Linked DNA regions of Mus musculus. The protein of the gene in region 2 interacts with the protein of the main gene of each other region in a biochemical or structural test. Links are inferred from orthologs where the notes say so. Each region holds a gene or a part of one and is shown on either strand. Other genes may lie near its edges.

Region 1 (4,335 bases), on a different chromosome or scaffold from region 2:
CAATTTACGAATAGAAAAAAACAAGCCAGCATGGTCTACAGAGAGCCAGGGATACAAAGAGAAACACTGTCTCCAAAACAAAACAAAACCAAAAAAAAGAAAAAAAAAGAAAGAAAAACAAATACTTATACCTAGGGCTTGGTGTTTTAGGGCTATAATCTTAGTTACTTGGCAGGCTGAGGAAGGGAGATCATAAATTTAAGGCCAATTTGAGCTATGCACATCCTGAATCAAAACGAAACAAGGTTGAATGTGGTGATGAATTCCATCATCGAGGCCAGCCTGGTCTACAGAGTGAGTTTCAGGACAGCCAGGACTACACAGAGAAACCCTGTCTCGAAAAACAAAAAACAAACAAAAAAACGAACAAAAACTAAACAAGGCTGGGAGTTGGGTGGATTTAACTCTGTAAGGCACTCTTCCTAGCATGTGGGAGTTCAACCCATAGCACTAAAATAAATAATTAAATGTATCCTTTAGTTCACATAGACATTAGTGGTTGCTTACCTTCCTGACCTGTGTGTGCTCCTTAAAAAAAAAAAAAAAAAAAAAAAAAAAAAAAAAAAAGTGAAGCTGAACAAATCGGCTGTAGCCAAACACACATGGCAGGAGAGAAAATTCCTGACTTCAGCCAGTGCTCTGTGGCAATCACAAGCGCACTCACACACAAATACTTTAAAACATACAGTTAAAACTTTTTAAGGCCAGATCTGTGACATTTGGAAACACTACAAAATTTGAACACGTGTTGAGGTCATCGGGTTGCCAGGCTATCCGTGTTCCTCTGCTTCCCCGTCCGGGAACACTTCTTTCAGGGCAGCACAAGACAGACCAGCAGGCTTTTCTGGGGAATGATCAGAGGCACAGAAAGGGCTTCCAACAGAATCCCCAGAAATCTGAACCCAGCACTTCCTCCTTTATAGCCTCGCCGGGCGGCGGCTCGGTTTATAATTCCAGTACTTGGGAGACAGAAGCAGGTCGGTAGTTCAAAACCATCCTTGGCAACACAACCAGTTTAAGACTAGCCTTCGCTACATGAAATTTTGCCATAAAACAAACAAACAGGCCAGATTTGCTGGCACACGCCTCTAATTGCGACTTTAATTGTACTTCCGTAAGTCAAAGTTGGAGCCGGGGTCTCCAACCAAGGAACTGAACAGAAGCGGAAAGGGCGGAGCCGCGTCTCTGCCACGTAAGGGCGGAGAGGCCACTGTAGTTTGCTTGTGTGCCCTCAGCCCCACTTCTGCTTCCACGGCATGCTTTAATCTCCCGAGAAGCCTTTCTAAAACCCTGGCGCATCTGGCTTCAGAATGCATTTGTACAGCGCTGCCAAACTAGGTTGCGTGGCAGAAGAAACGACGATACTTGAGACCTACTCTCCCAGTTCCTCCCACTTCTCAGTGCAGCTATCTTTGAGCAGCAGTGAATCATGGGAATCCCCGCCTTGCTCTCCGAGTATTTCCGGTTCCGGCGGAGGCCGCTCTTTCTTTTTCTCCACAGGGTCGTGGTGGCAGCCGCTGTGGTGCTTGGCTCTCTGAGCTATCCGGTGCCATCCTTGTCGCTGCGGCGACCCTCGCATCAACTGCAGCCATGACCGAGCAGATGACCCTTCGCGGGACCCTTAAGGGCCACAATGGATGGGTAACACAGATCGCCACCACACCGCAGTTCCCGGACATGATCCTGTCTGCGTCTCGAGGTACGGGCTGCATGCCGGGTAAATCACCCGGTGTCCTGGGGACTGCATGAGAGTCTCGTGGTTAAGCAAGTGGCGCGCGTGTTGGCTCGGTTCATTCCCCAACCCAGTTGTTAGTTGGGGCGTGCATACCCCAACTTGGGCCCCAACCGGGACGACCCTTTACACATGAACGGAAACCGAGACACGTCGCGCAACTGTACTCACACCCCACCTCCCAAAGTTGGCGATTTTAAATCTCTCGCTTGCTTCCTGGAGATGTGTTTAAGTAGTTTTACGGGGCTACAAGACGGGCGGAGCAATGATGACCCCAACATGCCATCTGAGTGGCTTTGCTGAAATCCAGAGGCTGTTTCTGAGCTGTTGTCGCCTGGCCCTAAACTATAGACAGTGGGTAAACTTTGTAGATGCCTTGTTCCCCACATTTCCGGACTTGATTGTCCCGCCCTAGGTTTTCTTGTAACTAATGATTTTTTTTCTTTAATGATGTATCTTCATGTGTATTTCCTCCCTACCCACCCCAAAATTATGCTCATTTTCTCTCCTACCTAATACTAGGCTTATTATTGTCCGTTTCTGTGTAAGTTGGTTCGTGGCTAGGATTGTGTCTGATGCTACAATAACGGCTGCATTTATTTCAGTAACTCTCAGGCGGGAAAGGCTGTCTCTGCTCAGCCTACATACACCCAAGTGGTGCTTCTGCTGTTAATTAGTCTCGGGCCCGGACGATGACTAAGGTTAGGGTTAGTTTCCCAGACCCTGCATGGTAGCTTGCAGTCATCTGAAACTAGTTCCAGGAGACCTGACACGCACTTCTGAACACCATAGACACAGGTAGCACACATATGTATGTAGGGAGCCACTTTAAATAAAATACATTTTGAATGTGGAACTTAAGTCTCAATCCCAGGAAGTGTGGTGCCCATAGTCTCACATTACAGCTGAGATCTACAGCTCTTGATATTGTAGAGTAGTAAGCCTCTTTTATTTATAACTTGAAGTTTCTCTGTCCCGTTTACTGGCCCCAGTGACTTTAAGACTGTAAATGGTGCACAGTAAGTAGGCTTATACCAACCTTTACCAACCCTTTTAGACAAGACCATCATCATGTGGAAGCTGACCAGAGATGAGACCAACTATGGCATACCACAGCGTGCTCTGAGAGGTCACTCCCACTTCGTTAGTGATGTTGTTATCTCCTCTGATGGTCAGTTTGCCCTCTCGGGCTCCTGGGACGGAACGCTGCGCCTCTGGGATCTCACAACGCAAGTAGCTGCTTTGGAATCTTGGGGGGAAAGTGGGCAGAACTGAGGTAGATTCGCCGGGGTGCAGTCTCCCCTTGGTAATTGGTCCTTTTGTAGAGGGTAAAGCAACATTTGGGGGTGTTGTTTTAAACTGGGTACCTATGAAGTGTCTCATCTTGTACGTTGTCTTAGATGGGCATTTGGCAGATGTAATAGAGGATCCTAGTGATGACAAGACGACATTGTCAACCAATCCCCCACAAGGGAATGAGGACATGTCCTGCAATTCTGAATGGGTTCTCTGATACATGTCAGACATGACATAGGCTAGTAGTAGGTTCTAAGCCACGTGTGGACTGTGTGGGGTAATAGAGCCTACGGGGCAAGGATGAAGCTAGGAAAAGGCTCTAGCTGGATGGACAAAACCTGTCTAGAAAGTGACCAGGTTCTCCTTCTTAGGGGCACCACCACAAGGCGATTTGTCGGCCACACCAAGGATGTGTTGAGCGTGGCCTTCTCCTCTGACAACCGGCAGATTGTCTCTGGGTCCCGAGACAAGACCATAAAGTTATGGAATACTCTGGGTGTCTGCAAGTACACGGTCCAGGTAAAGGGATAAGGGTGGTAGGGACAGCATGTTCAGGGCTACCTCCCGCCCCCTGGGGACTTGGGTTGTTTCTGAGGTGGGTTCCTCACTAGGTAGTCCTGGTGGCCTGGAGTGATCTGACTCCTAGGTGTTGGGGTGAAGCTGTGTGCCACCGACTGCCTCTTTAGCTTTTCATTGTGTGTTGTTAGTCCTGTGACTGTCTGGGGTTGTTTTTTGTTATTTTTAAGCTAAGCATGCTGGCTTGTGACTGGCATGGGACTTACAGGCGTTGGAATTTTATTTAAGTACGCTGTAGCTGTCTTCAGACACTCCAGAAGAGGGCATCAGATTTTGTTAAAGGATGGTTGTGAGCCACCATGTAGTTGCTGGGATTTGAACTCAGGACCTCTGGAAAGAGTAGTCAGCGCTCTTAACAGCTGAGCCATCTCACCAGCCCCAGAATTTTTTATTTGTTTGAGAAGGGGTTTCTGTGTAGATCTGGCTGAGATGGGTGTGCTTTTAAACTGCTGGGGTTAAAAGGCTAGCTAGAGGTGGTACTTCCCCCTTTCATTCCATATTAGGTTGGGCCATGGAAACCCAAACCAGGGCATAAATTGGGCAGGGTCTTGGCACATACGCAGATACCCAGATATCTACTAAAACTGCCCTAAGGGTTAAATGATCTTAAGTCTCTCACCTACCTCCTAGAGATGTGTATTTAAGGGGCTACAAGCCAGGCCCAACAGTGATGACCACAACATGCCATCTGAGTTGCTTTGCTGAAATCCAGAGGCTGTTTCTGAGCTGTG
Region 2 (3,614 bases):
GGCTGGCTCTGTTCTCAGGCTCCAAGTTTGAGTTTAAGGTCATAACATTTTCTCACTTTCTGGCCAGTAGGGAGGGCAAAAGAGGCAAGAGGCACATGTATGTTCCTTTTAATGGAATGATCCAGAAGTTTATACTTCCCATTGATCAGAACCCATGGCCACATCAAGCTACAAAGGAAGCCAGGAACTCTGGTGTCTATTGAGCATGGCCTCCGCTATAATTCAAGGGCTCTGCTGTGAAAGGGAGGGGTGGAACCCCGGCCCTCTCGGCCACGGCTTGTAGACTGTCCTCTGTGAAGGTTGTTCCCTGAGGGTCAAATGACCTGTAAGTGGGAACACTTTGTGGTTAGACTTGGGTTTAGATCACTCTAGAAGACTGTTTGCAGAAGGAAGGGGTGGGTGGAGCTAGGAGCAGGGGGCCTGCTGAGTGCTAGGATTTGCAGGTTGGCCCTGTGAATGCCTTCTGGACATGGAGTTTGACCAGTCATCTGTCTTACGTACCCACCCCTCTGACCCCACTTGTCTAGTATCGAGTCCGTGCATGGTGCTCCAGCGATGGTCCTGACGGGCATGGCAGGACCCGGTTCAGTCCTTCATGAGTTGTCCATTCAATGCAGGCACAGTCCTCTGCTCTCCTCACTAACGGTGGCCTCTTCTGTCTGTTTCTCTTGGTCTCAGGACCCCCGGAGCAAACACAAGTTTAAGATCCACACGTACTCCAGTCCTACCTTCTGTGACCACTGTGGATCGCTGCTGTATGGACTTATTCACCAGGGGATGAAATGCGACAGTAAGTCCTTGACGTCCTGGGGGGCATGTGCCACAAGAGAGGCTTCTATCCTAATGGCTTAGGGTCCACGTCTGCACTGTGTCCCCTGACCCCTGGGTAGGAAAGGTACTGTTGTTACCCGATGTCCTGTATTGAGGTCTTCTCCCCATAACAAGGTGGGCCAGCTCATCCCCGTGCAGAACACTTCCTATACACCACCTCCCTGTTGTGTCCGCTCTCTGGGGAACTCAAGCTATTAATGTCACTACTTTAAACTAGGAGATATCTTACGTAAGTGTGTTCTTGATGACATTAAACATGGGGCAGTTTGACAACATCGTGTAAACATTCCTATAGGGTCTACTTGGGTGGGTGTGGCCTTGTCCTCCACGGGACCACCTCCACATCTTCCCTCACTTGCAGGATGGTGCACTGGGCATTTGAGTTGGCACTTCAGAACCACAGGAGTATAGAAATATAGAGGTACTGCTTCAGGCTATAACTTAGCCTTCAAGGAGAATGACCCCCATCCTTCCTTCATGCATCAGGGTTGGGAGAAAGATTTGGAGAAGTCCTTCTGATAGGATGTAACTTGTTCTCTGCTAGGTGGGTGTCACTAAGGTCAGGGAACAGGAAGGCACCGGTGGGTCTAGGTACAGCTGATGCCTGGAGCCCCCAGCGTGGGCCAACCTGAACCAGCCTGAGCCATTCCTCCCTTCCCTCTCTCTGCCCTCACAGCCTGTATGATGAACGTGCACAAGCGCTGCGTGATGAACGTCCCCAGCCTCTGCGGCACTGACCACACGGAACGCCGCGGCCGCATCTATATCCAGGCCCACATCGACAGAGAGGTTCTCATTGTTGTTGGTAGGTGGCCCCGAGGCTCCTGCATCGGGAGGTGCCCGAGCTTCAGGGTTCCAGAGTTCCGTGAACATGTGAGGGGGTGGGGGTGGGGTGGGAAGGGGTGAGGGGGTGGGAGGTGGGTGGGTGGGGGTGGGGATAGTGCCCAGGCAGGTCACAGGTGCACGGAGGGGCATAATGTGCATAATGTGGCTGCTTTGCTCCTGCCTCCAGTGTGGCCCTTCTCCACAGTGAAGTCCTCAGACTGTGGAACCTCAAAGCCACCTTCTCAGCACTTTGAGGTGGCTTCAGCTGCCTAAAGGGCAGCTGAGCCTTCCAGGCTTCATTCTAAAAACAAAATGTGAAATTGAAATTATAATAATTGTATTTATTTGTGGCCACAGTATATCTGACACATGTACAATATGTGACCATCAAGTCAAGGTAACCTTCATGTATCTCTGGGCCACCTGAGCCCTCCATTCGCCCTTCTTTAAAACAACAACAACAATAGCAGCAACAAAGAATGTGTAATTAAAATACAGTAATAGTATACATTTGTGGACGTGGTATATTTTGACACATGTGCAAATCATAATGACCAAATCAAGATAATTTTCACATATGTCTGCACTGCTCAGACACCTATGGTTTCCTTGTATTGAGGATACTGAAAGGACTTATAATTTCACAGAATCTTCTTCCTGCCTCCTATCTGTTCTCTCCGCGTCTCCTGGAACGTGAAGTGCCTGTGCCCTTTTTCAGATAACAGAGAAGGCATCCTTGCTTCCTCCCCAGACTTTTCCAATGGGAACATAGAGTCTTGATGACCAACACCAAATTTGGAAGAATTTATGTCTTAAAGAGGGAGGGAGGGGGTATGCAGGCCAGAGAACTATCCGGGGCCTCCAAAATTTATTTTAACCTGTTGGGAGCTATGCCAATCACTATAATATTCTGCATACTTGTTTTGTGTCTGAACTGAGAAAACACAGCAATTTGCCTAGGAGAGGAGACACACAAAGGGCAGAAAGAAGGGCCTATCTGCTTTTCTGTGGTGAGCATCTGTGATACTCAGAGAATAGGAATTCACCTGTGCTGGACTGGCAGAGACTTACCCGTTCCTCACGGCAAAACCAGTACAAAAAAACTAGACACAATGGTGTGGGGATTTGAAGGAACCGTTTCTTCCAGGCTTGCGACACAAACTCTGTAGACTTACGTAACTAATTTGTATATACAAGGCCTCACCATTTCATCACGGAAGGAGTCGGTTTTGTTAAGTTGGCCAATTTCTGAGGCCCCAGAAGGGTTTAGTAGCACTGACCTGCTGAGCCCTAATGTGGTCAGAGTTTGCTTAAACCATATAAAAGTTAAAAACTATAACTCCTTTTTGAAAGGGCCGTTTCAGAAACCTGGTGAGTTCTTAGAGAAGATGGCTTCATCAAGAGGCTTTTCCTTCAAGGACAGGCCAAGGGAGGAGGCAGCTGTCTCCCAGAGAGGTGCTTGTGGGGTAGGAGTGGGACAACAGAGAATCTTAGGGTAACAAGTTCAAGGAAAGCCTGCCCTATCCCTCACCATTGACTTGAGCCTTCAGTGCCTGAGGGACAAAAACTGAGGCTCTGCTGCCACCTAGTGGTTGAAAACGGTTGCCATGGGCAGTCACATTTACAGAGTGTATTTAGAGCCACAGGACCATCTTGCCTGATAAGTTCATTTTAGGAATGTGATCTAGGGAAGTGAGCATTATCCTGGTACCCATCCTGAAACAGGTTCATCAGGTGCTCAGTTCCCCAGCTAGGTCCAACTGACTTGAAAGCACTCTCCTATACACACCAAGTTACTGTTTTAGCTTAGCTTCGTCTCGTTGCTTAGTTTCCCATTTATTTCCTTTTCTAGTTTAGCAGCAGTAGCTCTTAGGGGAATCCACTCGGAGTCTTTGATGATTTGAGGGCACAGGAGTCTTTTGAGCTCAAGGTCAGGTATTCTGCATAATTGTACTAAT

The links.
Region 1: the proteins of Prkcb (region 2) and Rack1 form a complex in vitro, tested with the Homo sapiens proteins (2 studies listed by BioGRID). The link is inferred for Mus musculus from reciprocal best matches to the Homo sapiens genes PRKCB and RACK1.

What each region holds. Positions count from the first base shown.
Region 1 is NC_000077.6:48,798,874-48,803,208, forward strand, and holds the start of Rack1 (receptor of activated protein C kinase 1), read left to right. Parts: upstream 1-1,486; 5' UTR 1,487-1,590; coding exon 1,591-1,699; intron 1,700-1,991; exon of another isoform or gene 1,992-2,059; intron 2,060-2,789; coding exon 2,790-2,961; intron 2,962-3,159; exon of another isoform or gene 3,160-3,236; intron 3,237-3,399; coding exon 3,400-3,547; intron 3,548-4,265; exon of another isoform or gene 4,266-4,333; intron 4,334-4,335. UniProt on the Homo sapiens protein: Scaffolding protein involved in the recruitment, assembly and/or regulation of a variety of signaling molecules. Interacts with a wide variety of proteins and plays a role in many cellular processes.
Region 2 is NC_000073.6:122,456,537-122,460,150, forward strand, and holds part of Prkcb (protein kinase C beta type), read left to right. Parts: intron 1-678; coding exon 679-790; intron 791-1,507; coding exon 1,508-1,636; intron 1,637-3,614. UniProt on the Homo sapiens protein: Calcium-activated, phospholipid- and diacylglycerol (DAG)-dependent serine/threonine-protein kinase involved in various cellular processes such as regulation of the B-cell receptor (BCR) signalosome, oxidative stress-induced apoptosis, androgen receptor-dependent transcription regulation, insulin signaling and endothelial cells proliferation.